Rhinolophus ferrumequinum: one gene and its partner. The protein of the gene in region 1 interacts with the protein of each later gene in a pairwise test. Links are inferred from orthologs where the notes say so. Each region holds a gene or a part of one and is shown in the gene's direction. Other genes may lie near its edges.

The links. The genes of interacting proteins can lie anywhere in the genome.
Region 2: the proteins of BANP (region 1) and TOX4 interact in binary tests that used the Homo sapiens proteins (3 or more experiments, as listed by UniProt). The two-hybrid records come from large-scale screens. The link is inferred for Rhinolophus ferrumequinum from reciprocal best matches to the Homo sapiens genes BANP and TOX4.

What each region holds. Positions count from the first base shown.
Region 1 is NC_046298.1:32,663,895-32,671,072, forward strand, and holds the start of BANP (protein BANP), read left to right. Parts: upstream 1-4,142; 5' UTR 4,143-4,248; intron 4,249-7,178. UniProt on the Homo sapiens protein: Controls V(D)J recombination during T-cell development by repressing T-cell receptor (TCR) beta enhancer function. Binds to scaffold/matrix attachment region beta (S/MARbeta), an ATC-rich DNA sequence located upstream of the TCR beta enhancer.
Region 2 is NC_046289.1:72,280,087-72,287,790, forward strand, and holds the start of TOX4 (TOX high mobility group box family member 4), read left to right. Parts: upstream 1-4,617; 5' UTR 4,618-4,708; coding exon 4,709-4,714; intron 4,715-4,923; coding exon 4,924-4,992; intron 4,993-5,310; exon of another isoform or gene 5,311-5,328; intron 5,329-7,704. Other genes in the region: RAB2B (ras-related protein Rab-2B), read right to left, coding at 1,468-1,535, 3,962-4,033, 4,257-4,302. UniProt on the Homo sapiens protein: Transcription factor that modulates cell fate reprogramming from the somatic state to the pluripotent and neuronal fate. In liver, controls the expression of hormone-regulated gluconeogenic genes such as G6PC1 and PCK1.

The sequences.
Region 1 (7,178 bases):
ACAATTTAACTTTTTTTCTGATTTGCATGCATTTTATTTCTTTCTCTTGCCTAATTGTTCTGACTAGGACTTCCATTATTATGTTGAATAAGAATGGGCACTAAGATCCTGAACTTAAAGGAAAAGCTTTCAACCTTTCACCATTGAGCATGATGTTAGCTGTCGGTTATATGGTCTTTATTTTGTTGAAGTTTGTTCCTTCTGTACCTTATTTATTGAGAGGTTTAATTATGAAGGATGTTGAATTTGTCAAATGCTTTTTTTTTTTTTGCATCTATTGAGATGATGTAATTTTTATCTTCTATTTTGTTAATGTGGTGTATCACATTACGGACGGTGTGTCTCCCCCTGGGAGGCTTGGGACTGTCCCTGGACCACAGCTAAGAAGGGCTAGAGTTGGGTCCCAAGCTACTTCAGGGTCCACAGCCAGAACCAAATACATTGGGCCTGTTATCTGGGGCATGTGTAGGTCTGATTCTTGCTGGATCCCTCCTCGGCGGATGATGCTGGTGACAGGACCAAGGCCAAATGGAGCTGTAGCCGCGTCCACAGGGGGATGGTCTGTTTCTGTGTCTGTAGCTGAGACCAAGGTTAGTGAGTCTTCCATTTGAGTCGGTGGCAGCTGACTCAAAATGGCCCTTATGATTTGGGGTTCCACCAGGGATTCACAGTCTCCTAGGCATCCCAAAGTTCCCACCAAGGTACTTCTGTCCATGGATGGATGCCAAATTATTGCTGCTGAGGGAGGATATGATGGAGGACCCCTATTCTGCCCTGTGGCTGACATCACTTCCTAATCTTTAAATCTCTTGATGGCCCAGAACGTATGGCTGTGGCCTGTCCCAGGTCTGAGTGGAATTCATGCCAGGGGGAGATGGGACTATAGTGGGTGCTGGGTGCTCCTTCTTCCCATTTCCCCTGAATTATTTTGTGGGCTCTATCTCCAGGACTCCAGATCACCCCCAACCTGATCTTTTCCCAGCAGGTGCTAGGAACCTACACAAAGGGGGCCTTTGTGTGAAGTAGAGGAAAGTGTCGGAGGATGGGGGAAGAATTACAGAAGAGGCCCCCTTGGCTGGACCAATAACAAAGAAGCGTTGTTCCTGGCAGCCTCCACAGCAATGGTGGGCAGCGGCCAGTGGTGCTCAGAGTTCCCCATCCCAGGGAACGGTACTCTGTCTATCCAGTTTTACATGTTTGCAGACCCATGAGGCATCCGAGCTGCCCTCCTTCCCTTACCCTGCTCTCAGTATTGGATTCATGCTCATGTCCTATTGATTTCACTCTTTGAGTCTGTCCACTTCTCTGCATGTTGGTCTCCACTAGGATCACCTTAATTCAGGACTCCATCGTCTCTTGCCTGGAAGCCTGCCATCGTTTCCTCAAGTGCTCTCCCCAAATCCACTCAGGACCTTTCCTCCCCACCCCCAATTGATTTTCCAACATTCCAGCCAGAGTGACTTTTGAAAACACAAATATGATCATATCTACCCTTGCCCCTAACCTTGTAAAGGCTTCCCATTATTTTTAGGATCAAGACAAAACTCATCCCTTGGCCAACGAGGACCTGCAACCCACACGGCCCACATCCTAATTACCTTTTCCATCACATGTCACAAACTTCCTCCTCAAAGTTCTTGTACTGCTACGGCTGTGACCTTGGGTGTGTTGCTTAATCTCTCTGAACTTTATGTTTTTCATAAAGAATAGGGATTAAAACAAGATGTGCCTGGCCCAAGGCATGGTAACTCAGCACGAGTAACGTTACCATTTTCTGAGTGAGGCCCTCTGCTAAACCCTTTAGAAACTCTGCGACATTGAATCCTTCCCAGGGCCTCATATTCTGTGAGTTTGAAGCCTCAGCAACTTGCCACAAGAGAGCTTAGATTCAAAGCCCAGTTCAGGCCTGTTCTTATGGCTCTGCTTTTATGAACAGCTTTCTAAGCTTTCTAAGCTCAATTTTCTAAGCTTTCTTGGACAACGAAGGACTTCATGAATAATTCACTTTTCTCCGTCCTACTGACATATTCAAGAACAGGACTGTTCTGAAGGATTCCAGATTTTGCTTAAAGTGGGCATTGCGTGGTTTTGAAGAAGGGGCCTTTGAGATCTTTGCAAATGCCCTGCATACCTACATCTAAGGGGTCCCCCATTTCTGGTGCCATCCAGATCAGAGTGCACTTCTCGTCTAATAAACCGCCCACCAAACGTGACTTCAGCTTAATTAACTCCGGGGACTTCCACTGGAGTCTTCTATGAATTGATGGGTAAGGAGAAGGCTCCTGTGTGGTCCCGAAGTGACCCTTTATTGGTAGACAGCTGTCTTGGTCCATTTCAAGCGATTTAATGTTTTTTGAAAAAAACCATGGTTAATCACTGAGATGTGAATATTGAACACCTTCCTCTATTTGAGCTTCCTGGGCAGCAAAATGTAAAATAAGTAAATTGGAAACATTGAAAACAAAAAAGAGAAGTCAATGATTCCAGCATATGCACAATTATAATTTTGATTGGTTTAATTTCTGATCAGTAAGCAGTTGCTTGGAGCCAAGCAGTGTGCAAGCCCTGGGCAGGAAGGAGTGTTGGCAAAGCCACACCTGCAAGGGAGCTACTGGTGAGGACTTTCGAATATTTTGAAATAATATGAAAAATATCACCCTACGTTTATCTGCTTTCTAGTCAGATGCAGAATGTTAAGACTGCTTACATAGTTAAGTATTAGATTTGGCTCTAACTGAGGCTGAGGTGGGGACAGAAGAACTTTTTTGCCCCCATGCCTCTCTCAGGATTTTTGTAGTTAGCTTTTGCAATCATTTTTCCCCACTGTGAGCGGACTGTAGACTCTAGACCAAGGTGTTTTGGATTCCACACAGTGCTTTTCGTCTCTTTCCAGCCCTGTGACCTTGCTGAGCAATTTTTCCAATCTCTTTGGACTTCTCATCTCTACATAGGACATACCTCGTTTCCATATCAATATCTTTTCCAGCGCTGACCTTCTGTGGTTCTTTGGAATTCCTTTAAGGCACTTTTTCGGTAAAGGAATCCAGTAACCAGCCTCAGCAGAACCCCAGTGTTAACTCTGGAAGAGAGGCTAACTCAACAAAGTTGCCCAAGGTTGCACAACTGGTTGCTGCCCTGAATCAAGTTTTTATCATTGGCAAAAGAGAAATGAGCAGGAAACTCATGGTAAAGCATTTCATTTTCTAAATGAAAATAGCTCCATCCTCTTGTGTTTGGGTGATCAAAGGAATTCTTGCTCAAAGTAAACAACTCAGAAAACAGAGGCAAGTATAAAGAAGAAAAATGAAAAGTAATAGTAATCCCAGCACGCACGAAAAGCAATGGTGATGACAATAAGTAGGAAAAACATTGCTGTCTATAGTTTGGGAATTTTTTCCTAGGAGTACCCACAAGCATGCATTTATGGTCTATAAATATATTTACATTCATACTATATTTATATTCATATATAATAGTTCATATTTACATAGGCGCGGATTATATGCAATATATAACATTAATTATATACAAAACATATATCACATATAATTTAGTCTTCCCCCACGAGCGTGCACTCAAGACTGTGCACATGACACTGGGGACCCTTGTGCACCACCTATTCTTTGGGGGAACCCCGCCAGAGCGGAAGCAGCAGCACACGCGGGGCGCAGCGATCCAGTGCATCTGAACTACAAGTCCCAGCAGCCCACGGCGCGGGCCGGGCTACCGGAGTATGGAGAGACTACAAGTACCGGCAGGCAAGGCGCAGAGGCCGGGACTACGAGTCCCAGAATGTACTGCTCGCGGTTCGCGCAGGGCCCTCCGGGATATGTAGTCGTTGGTGGGGAGCTAATTCTTAATTCATTTAGTCTCAAAGAAAATGCAAAGTCCTCCAACGGCCCACCGACACGATTTTTCAAGGGTTAACGAGGAGCCCTAACACACCATGGGGAAGTGAGAGCTCCTCGGGGCCCAAACTGTGGCACTGGAGTACAACGCGTGCGCATGCCCGGCGGTCGACGGCGCGGGCGAAAGCGCGCGCGGGAGGCCTCAAGCGGCAGGCCCTGCCTCTGGTCCCTCCTCCGCTCCCGGCGCGCCCCGCCCAGGGAGCCTGCGCAGATAGTGCAGGGCAGAGGGCCTCGAGGAGGGACTCGCGGCGCCTGCGCAGAGCGGCGGCTTCTCTCGCGAGGACGGACGCCATTATCGCATCTCCCCGACAAACACCACGAGAATTCCGCAGCCCACACGGTAATTGCAGCTCCCGCAGCCGGTCGCGTCTCCACCTCCCCCTTCCCGCGGGGCGAGAGCGAGAGCGAGATCTCCCCTCCTCCCTCCTCCCTGCACCCTCCTCCGGCCGCCGCGCCCGCCGCCCCCTCCCGGGACGCCCTGCCGGTTCCGCCAACGGCCCACTACCCCCGCCCGGTAGCCCCCTTAGCGCCCCGGGGCCCCGCCGCCCGCCTGAGCCCTGCCGTCACCCGTCCTTCCCCCGCCGCTTCCCTCAGTTCTGTCAACCTCTGCGGACGCCCCCTCGGCCTCAGCGTCCCTAGGCCCCGCCGCCCCCCTCTTCCCTGTCAGCCCCCCGGTTTCTGCGGCCCCCAGGACCCCCCGCGCCTCCTCCCGGGAGCGCACGGCGCTGTCCCCCCGACATTCCCGATACTGGGGGGCCGGGTCACAGGGCCGATCGCAGGCTCGTTTTCTTCCCACGGGAGACTGTTGATTTCATTAATTTTCTTTTGCACTTGCACCCCCCCCACACCCACCCATATTGTCATGCCGTGCGCGGGTTAGGACGGTGCGGGTGACAGGCCCGGCCGCCGGCAGCTGCCTTTAAACTTGGGGCGCAGCCCTGCGAGAGGTGCTCGCAGACGTCCCGAGGGCCGCCCTGCAGCTGCAGGAGGGGCAGGCTGGGTCTCTCCTTTCTCTGGGAAATGGGAAAACTGGACACGCACCCACAGACCCTGCGGTGTAGTAGTTCCTGTCAGGCCGACTTCCGACGCGGTTGGCACCCTGAGTTCCTAACGTGAAATGGAGCCCCGAGAGTCAGGAACACAAGCAGCGTGCTCTTCATTTGCTTACGGTTTCACAAAGGGAAGTAGGGATCTAAGGTGCCGTTTTAGGAGTAGACTGCCGTAGACCTAGGAGAGGACCGGATCCAGCTCTCCTCCCGGCCTCGATGAAGGAGCATTTCAGGTTCTTTCACCCCTATACTTTTTTTTGCTATTTCTGTGGTGTAATCCTTTTGAAATGTGGCCTTAGTTTTTTGCTTTGCAGTCCCTCCACCCACCCCACCCCACCGTGGCTGCAAAAAGTCGATGTACATTGCACCTCACTGTGAGTGAATTGGAGACATTAATAGAGGACTGATTTTTTCAGTGATGAGATGGTAGGGATTGTCTTCATATTGGAGAAATAAGAACTGTTAACAAGTGCAACTTCCAAGGACAGAGAGCTTGCCTGCCCTACCTGGGCAGGTTAGAGTCTGTGGAAGGAAACAGGTGATTGCTCTTTGTTTCGAGTTACCTGTTCTTCCTGACTGTACCCCCGAGGAATGCACTCCAAGGCCTGAGGGCGTTGGTAGAACTAGCACTAAGGTAAACTAGTTGATGGGAGGAGACAGTCCTTTCTAAGGGTGGAGTTGTAACTGGAAGTTTGGGAAACACATAACGTGGGAAAGTTGAGTGGTCCTCAGGGAGGGAAGGTTACATCAGAAAGTACATGATTAGATCAATGAACGTGGAGCTTTTGACCACCCTGGGTACAAATATGCAGTGGTAAAAGAAAACACCAAAACTGCCCGTAAAATTAATTCTCTATATTCAGCTCCATTTACCTTTTGTGTTGCAATCAGAATATGTTCTTCTCATGTTGTGTTCTGCCATCATTGGTTTTAATTTTTAAAAAACAGTCGTTATTTATGGGATCATGTGCTGTTGGCCGGGACTTAATCATTTCCCATGTCTCTCATCACAACCACCCAGTGAGGTAGAGACTGTCCTGTTTTACAGATGAGGTGACTGAGGTCCACAGAGCTTAAGTGACTTGCCTAAGATACACAGAGCCAGGGTGTGAACATTTAAAATAAATAACACATACGTATATTTAATATTTTGAAGTAAGGTACATAATAAAATGTCAATGAAAAACTTATGATGAGAAGTAGTAGTCGCCTGTCCAACCTTTTACATCGTTTTGTTTCTTTAGTAAATTTTCCATCGCTCTAAATGATAAGCTGGTATTTTATTAATTATACACATTTTTGACTTTCTGTTATGATACTGTTTAGCTCTTCAGATCATATTCCACCTCTTTCAGCCCCTGAATTCACTGTGTTCAGTTAACTCTTTGTTTGTAACAATGCAAAAGTTGTTTGCTCGGCAGCCAAGTAGCACTTACCCTTCTTATACAGCTATTTGTTTTTCCTATTGTTTGTATTGGCCTTTCTTTTTCTTTGCATTGTCTGCTCCTATTGGCTGCTTAAATTGTTTCAAATTCTCAAGGATAGAGTCAAGTCTCTCCAAACTTCCCCCTCCTCCCGATTCCTCTGTTCTCTTTTTCTGATCTGGATTGAGTACTCTATGCCACCACAGGTATCCTGATATTTTCCTTTATTATACATCTGAGTTCAGGACTCCATGTTTTAATCTTTGCTTTCTTCATTTCAATGAGAACCTTCTGCCAAGTCGCCTTCCTCCTTTCGCGTGACTTTTTAGGGTCCTCTTTGGTTTTAGGACATTTCCAGAGTGCCAGAGGATGGAGAGTCCCATTCCAAACGCTCTTTGTTTCTGGGGCCTTGTCCTTCAGTTCTGGGAAAGTGTCTTGTATCATTTACTTGAGAATTTCTTCCTCTCTGCTTTTACTCTTCTCCTTTCCAAGTTCCTGTTAGTTTGATGATGGATATCTTGAGCCCCTGAATCTCTTGTCTTTATCTTCCTGTGTCATTTTGTTCTTATTTCTGGGAGAGGGCTTCAGTTTATCTTCCAATCCTATTTAACATTTTTATTTCCATAATTGAAATGTTAATTTCCAAGTGTGTATTTGTTCTGTTCCTTTTTCATAGTAGCTTATTGTTTTTTGAATGCATTATCTTGTTGACTCTGAGGATACCAATAAGGATTTTTTTTCCCCACTTCTTTTTTGTTCTGTGATCTCTCATTTCATTTAGTGTCACTGCCATCATT
Region 2 (7,704 bases), on another chromosome or scaffold:
AATTACCTTATGACCCAGCAATTCCACTGTTGGGTATCTATCCAGAGAAATCCAAAACACTAATTTGAAAAAATATATGCACCCCTATGTTTATTGCAGTGTTAGTCAAAATAGCCAAGACATGGAAACAACCGAAATGCCCATCAGTAGATGACTGGATAAAGAAACTATGGTACATTTATACAATGGCCATAAACAACAATGAAATCTTACCAATTGCTAAGACATGGATGGACCTAGAGAATATTATGTGAAATAAGTCACATGGAGAAAGACAAATAACATATGATTTCACTTACATGCGGAATCTAAAGAACAGAATAAATGAACAAACAAAATGGAAATGGACTCAGAGATATAAGAGAAAAACAAACAAACTGATGGTTGCTAGATGGGAGGGGGTGGGGATGGGAGAGAAGGTAAAGGAATTAGGAAGTACAAATTAGTAGACATGTTTTAGTAGACATTCGTAGACATGTAGTAGACAATATTGCCATGGGGATATGAAAGACAGTTTGGGAAATACAATCAATAATGTTGTAAAATTTTGTATGGTGTCAGATGGGCACTTCTCTTATTAGGAAGACCGCTTCATGGACTGGGTAGACGCCTGACCACTGTACTGTACACCTGAGGCTGAAGCCGAATAATACTGAATGTCAACTATAAATAAATAAATAAACGTGTGTGTGTGTGTGTGTGTGTGTGTGTGTGTGTGTAGCCACAAGATGCTGAGTACAGCATAGGGAATACAGTCAATGGAATTGTAACAGCAATACACGATGTCAGAGGGATGTTAGACTGGGGGAGGTTATCACTTTGTGAGGGGTATAAATATTTAACTATTACATTGTTTTGCACACCTAAAACTAATTTAAAAAGAAATAAAATAAGGTGACTTTAAAATTTTAAAAAATTGAAAAAAGAAATAAGGTAGATTTGTATGTACTGACATGGGAAAGTCTACAAAACATAAAGATCGCTAAAAAAAAAATACCTTAGTCACAAAGCTAGGTCTGTTTTGCCACAATTCTAAAAACTAATAAAAGCAAAACCACTACCATATATTTGTTTCTATTTATGTATCTAAATACAGAGAAAAAGTCTGAATCAATGATAGTGGGTTACTCTGGTAACGCAGAAACCAAGATTGGGAGGGAGAGAGGTTTATGTGTGCAAAGGGGAATTTAACCTTTTACTCTATACACTTATATTGGTTGCTTTTATTTTTTACTAGAACAGACTCATATATTACGTAGGTAATTTAAAACAAAAATTTAAAACTATGACATTCATATCTGTAACTGTAACAGAGGAAAATGAAAGCTTCCCTATATCTTCGACTTTACTCTTCCCCTACTCTGATCTCCACCATTAGCTCCCATCCTCATAGCCCTTTCCCCTCCATCAGACTTTAGTGTTGTATTTGGATCTGGTCAGGGAGTAAATGATTTTGTCCTCTCTCACCGTATCCCAGATTTGCAGTTTGATTTGTTTTCCATCAATGTTGACCATACGGGCCCCAAACTCCACACCTGTCAGTGAAGATCAAGAGAAAAAATGTGGTTGTCATGAACAGCCATGTTGAGTGAGAAGTTCATGCTATTTTTCAATGTGCTAGTGACTCGTCCTCTGTCTGCACTCAGTGCCACTATTTGAGCCAATTAGTTTTTTGTTTCTTGAAGTTTCATTTCTTTTCTAGAATTAAAAACTGTGTTCTAGGTGATAATGACTTCAAGAATGTAACCAAAAAGCAGATATGGGGATAAAATGAATTAAGAAGTCAAACAGAAAAGGTGAGTAAATTTTTAGCAATGTTAATTAACGCTTAATTTGATTAGATAATGTTTAATTTTGTAACTTTTTAAAAAACTTCTAAAATTTTAAAAAATATTTCCTAGCATTTTTCTCAAAGTCACTCTCTACTCCTCTATATGGAACAATATTTTTTTGCAATTCTAGATTTTTTGAGAAAAGAGCCTACCTAAGAAATAAGTTCTCAAAAATAATATATTTCAGATCTCCAATAATTCCCAGAGTTCATCAGAAAACAGCCTTCCTCATAGGAGTATGGAAACTGACAATCTCAATAAAGACTTTGGTTTACCTGGCATTCATCTTCTTTCAAGGTAAGATCAGGACAAAAATTAAAAATCAAAGGTCACTTATATTAAAAACACTTGATCATATGTCAGACAATTTGTTCTATTTCCTATTTTTTATACAGTACTTTACTTGAGGAATTCTGATTTCCAAGTAAGAAAGAGGACTAATCTAGCTTCTTATAATGGGCTGATATGCACCTATTCAGTGGTCCCACATACAATGCATCAAAATATCACCCTCAACTCTAAGGTGCTCAAGTCAATATGATATAAAGAAAAAATGTTTCTTACTACTCTAGACTGCTTCATCAAGAATAGTGATAGCTACTGCAAAAAGTCACTATTTTTTTTCCCTTCTGGACAATAGGAATGGAATTTCAATGGGGAAGAATTGAAAAATAAAACTTTGTATCCTTTTATGCAACTTTCTCTAGTTATGCACTCAGAGACCCTTCATTTTGCACATATTTTCTATCCAACTGCCTTGTTTATTTTGGTACAAAGGATTGACTTCAGAAAGAAACAGCACATTTTGGACTCTGGGGAAAACTTGATCACGTCATTCCTCCGCTTTAAAACTTGTCATTTACTCCTATTGCCTTCAGGTGTCTCAAAACTTAGTCTCTATTTTATTTTCTAGCTTTATTTTTTGTCATTCTCCACTTCAAATTTCATGCTCCAAACGTGTCAAATTACTTACAGTTTTCCAAAGGCAGCCTGATCTCTGTCATTCATAAGCTTCTGCATATGTTATTCTTTCCTGCCCTGATCACTTTTCCCTCATCTCTATATCCCCTTTGCCTGGCTAAGTCCTGCTCATTCTTCAGTTTTCAGCCTTTCCTGATAAAGGCATCCTCTCCTCCCTTTTTGCAATAAAAATTTACTTGTCAGTACACTATATCTACCCCCAGCCCCACCTGCTACACGGGAAGACTGTAAGCTACTTAAGGGCAAGCGCAATGTTTGCCTTTTTACACACTGTATCATTAGTTTATCACAGTGTGGGTGTCCACTTAACATTCATTTCCAAAAAAATATTTTCCTGTTGATGCTACCCTCTAAATTATTTTCAACCTTTAGTTGTTTGGCTCTGAATAAGTCCTGTGGGAGCAGCAGTAGCTTCAGATTTCAGTAAGGTGGGACTGTAGATGGTAAGAATCTACAATATGGTAAGAATGGGAGCTAGGGATTTTATTCAGAAACTGTGTTTGCATGGCAAGGAGGCTAGTTTTATATGCATTCTTTATTTCGGTTGAGGTTATGGATATTATGGGGCAGGGGTTGCTAAAGCCCCATCAGGCCATGCCTTATCACAAATACGTAGGAAATGTTTATACTTTCCAGAATCTCCTGGAACTCTATCACACTTTTTAACAAAAGTTATTAGTTTCAGCTACCTTTTAAGTCTAGGATGACTCTTGAATTTTCTTCTTCCTCTCCAACACACACAAAAATCTGTATATTGGTAATTACTTAACATACACACACGCGCACACACACACACACACACAAACACACACACGTGAGGCTAGCACTAATTTACCGCAAAGTAAGGTGAGTTTTTGAATTAGTTAGCTTTCGTAGGATTTTCCAAACATTCAAATTGCATTTGGAAAAACAAAAAGAACTTATTCATACCTCATGCTCATCTCTAAAGTTACTTTTCAATTATTTGCTCCCCATTACACTACTCCCCATTTACAGCATTTGATTGGTCACTCTTCATTTAACACAACTTCGGACTATTTTATAAGTAGGCGGAGCTAACTTTTTACTTTGAACCCTGAAGGCTGCTAACTTTTCACTTTAGCTAGTCATGTTTCATTATCTGTTCAGGCACAGGTAGATGCACTTACCTATTGTGAGGTCGTGAACAGGCTGGAACCGCTTGTCTGTAAACTGCAGGAGGAGACATGACTTCCCCACACCTTAAAGAGGAGGACGCACGCTCAAGGAGTCACGCCGCCCGGGAGCGGTCCCGAGTCGGGGTGTCCGGCACTGGGGAAGGGGAGCCCCGAGCCCCGCCCCCGGCCGCCCTGCCCCCGCCCCCTCTTCACCTAATCGCCCAGCCCACTGAGCCCCGCCCCCACGACCCGAATTGGGAACTTCGAATCCCCGCCCCAGCTATCAGGGCAGTCGCCCGCTGTTTACCTGTGTCCCCGATGATGATGTACTTGAAGAGATAAGCATAAGTCATGGTCCCGTTTCCTCTGGATTCCGGGTCCGCCCGACTTCTACAGCCACTTACCTCCGGCCTGTCTAGCCACTCAATCCGCCGATCTCCAGCCCCTCTAGCCCAGATCACATCTCTATTGCTCTCCCCAGAAATCCTCTCCTGGTCGGAGCGACGGTAATACCCAGACACCGATTCCAGGGTCGCCTGTAACACTCTTATGTGCCATTATCCCACCAAGCTCCAGGGGGCGATAGCTAGCCTTTCCGTCCTTTCGGCCTTCCCGGGTCTGACTCGTAACAGCCCTACCGCGCCCCTTCCAATCAGCGAAGAGCGACGCATGTCCTTGCGGAAGTGACGGCAGTTCCGAGTCTTGTGGGGGCGGTGGGAGCGATGAGGGGACTGAGACGGTGATAGCCGTTGTGTGAAAATGGAGGTAGGAACCTGAGCGCTAAGAAGGCTGACAAGAGAGTGCGACCGACCGGGTTGAAGCAGAGGCGGGAAGCTGGGCGGAGAGGCGGCTGACAGGACGGGAGAGAGCGGGATTTGGGGAGTGTTGTCAGAATGTCGGGGTCAGAATCCGTCGCTACAAGCTAACTCCCTGCTCCCCCTAACTTATCCCCGCGGCTTTCTTTTGGTTTCCAGTTTCCCGGAGGAAATGACAATTACCTGACGATCACAGGGCCCTCGCACCCCTTCCTGTCAGGGGCCGAGGTGAGCACGAGGTGCCGATGCTGGGGGCGGGGGGGAGGGCGAGAGGCAGTGGTGGGGTAGGGCGGTGGGGAGGAGAGGGCGCCAGGGACCGGGGGATGGGAACCAGGGGCCGCGATTGGTGTTTAGAGAAAAGTGGCAGCTGCTTCTAGAGCCTATGAGGACTAAGGGGTAGACCCAGGAAGCTGCTGTCATCAGAAAAGCAGGACGTTGGAAAGCGCTAGCGTATTTCAGAGTGATTCTGGATTTGAAGACTGAATGGAATTGTCTTTCTCTTTACGTTGGGGAGAAATAACTACGACAATCTTGGGGGATTGAAGGAGGAGGAGAATATTTTAGGTAAAGAAATTGGGATGAGAGGAGTTTACCCAGCAGGGGTTAACTGTGAGCATTGTTCATTCTTGAACCAAACTTTGTTAGGGGTCTTTGTTTCATATTAATTTTCTACTCAGTGATAAAAAAAAAGTTAATAGTTATGTTAACGTACATGGTGTTAGCTTGTTTTGCTAGTGAAGGATGAAAGGAAATACGTAGTTGCCAGAAAACATGAAGGAAGTAGAACATGTGTTTCTGTTTGCCAGTGACTCATTGTGGGGAGGTTAGGTCACCTTTGTATGTCAGTTTCCCCAGCTGTCAAATAGCTGTAATAATAGTTTCTTACGATGTTGTGAGGTAGAAGTGATGATTATGGTGAGGTCCTTTCAGTATTTGTAGAAAAGTTTTGTTGAAATAATTGTCATAATATAGATATGTGTCATTTACTTAGGCAAGGCAAAGAGAAAGATGGAATAGACAAGAATAAATTTCCTGTTCTTTGAGAAACTCTGAAATCTTGAGCTTTCTACTGTCTTTTGAGGACTTTAATTTTTTTTTCCCCAAAAGTGGTGTGACCCATTTGCATCAGTTTTTTTTTTTTTTCGTACCAAGAATTCTCAATTGCTGTTGAATGGGCTTATCCTGTAATAAATCCTAACGTTTTCATGAATGAGAATTAAATCGACATGGGGCAATTGCTAGTTTTTAACTTCTTTATTGCTATTATTATTATTTAACTAAGCAGAGGAAAGTGTGAATCAAATGAGCAGCAAATTTAGAAACGATATAAAACTAAAATCTGTCTGATGCTTTGTAGTCTCATTGCCAGTTTCTTCTGAGTGATAGCTCCATGATTTAATTTCATTATTAGGAGTATTGTAAATCTCACATTGGCCATATCCACATGAAAAGTCCATCATTGCCAATTTCTTCTAAATCAGGTATCCAGAATTTAAATTCTTTATTTAGAGTGTTTGTAAATTTCACCTTGGCCTCATCAAGAAATTTTCCAGGTTTGAGTCTATCCTTTGTTTTTGCTTTTGTGACTTTGAGCAATTTTAAAAAACAAAACTATTTTGCCAAGCTCATAACTAAATTTCAGTGGCTTCTTTTAGCCTAGGACTCTGTCATTGTTAACAGTTCTCCTCATTACAATTTCTTCACCTTCCCTTCCCGGTTTTTGGTGTTTTTTTTTTAACCTTTATTTTAATTGGTTTGTGGGTTTTGTTGTATCTGGTCTTACTGTAAGCCGCATAGAACTAGGTAAAGGTAATATTTTAAAATTTTTCTTTTAGAAGAAGAGTGATTTTTAGAGTTTTCTTGCAAGAAAAAGATGTCCACAAAAGTATTGACCTTAAAAAAATTGAAAAATGGGATTTCTTTTAAATTAGTAGTTTCTTTTCATTGAAAGATATCATTAAGAAATTAAAAAGGCACTCCACAGACTGCAAGAAGATAGTTTAATACATGTATCTAACTTATATTTAGAATATATCAAACACTTCTGCACAATAAAAGAAAGAATCCAATTTAAAAATGGGCACAAGAAATTTTTTTTTGGTTAATGTTAGGGATTTATTTATTGAATACTTTCGAAGTGCTGAATTCTTTGCAATGTCATGATGGGAGGCAGTGCACAGTGATGGAAAGACCTCTGTTCAAATCCTATCTCTGTTATTAACTTTTTTTTTTGCCACCACTAGAGTTTTTCTTTTTTTAGTTAGAGCTACATATAATATTATATGTTTCAGGTGTACAACATAGTGATTACACATTTATATAACTTATGAAGTGATCACCCTGATAAGTCTTAGTAAGGACAAAAGATTTGAACACGTACTTCATAAAAGAGGTTATCCAGATTGCCATTAGGCATATGAGAAAGTGTCATCACTCACTAGGGAAATAAAATAATGAGATACCATTGCACAGCCACCAGAATGGTTAAAATTAAAAATACTGACAATCCCACGAGTTGAAAAGGATGTTGGATAAGTCTTAATCATTGCTGGTGAGAGTATAAATTGATTTCAACCACTTTTGAAAACTGGCAGTATCTACTAAAGATAAACATATCTAGGGGTGGTTGGTTAGCTCAGTTGGTTAGAGCGTGGTACTAATAACACCAAGGTTACCGGTTTGACCCCCGCATGGGCCATTGTGAGCTGCGCCCTCCTTATAAAAAAGAAAATGATAAACATATCTACCCTGTGACCCAGTAATTCCACTCCTTGACATATATATATACACACACACACACACACACACACACACACACACATATAAATATAATGAATGTATATATTCACCAAAAATATGTGTATTCACAGCAACTTTATTCATAGTAGCCAAGCACTGGAAACAACCCAGATATCTAGGAATACTACACAGCAATAAAAA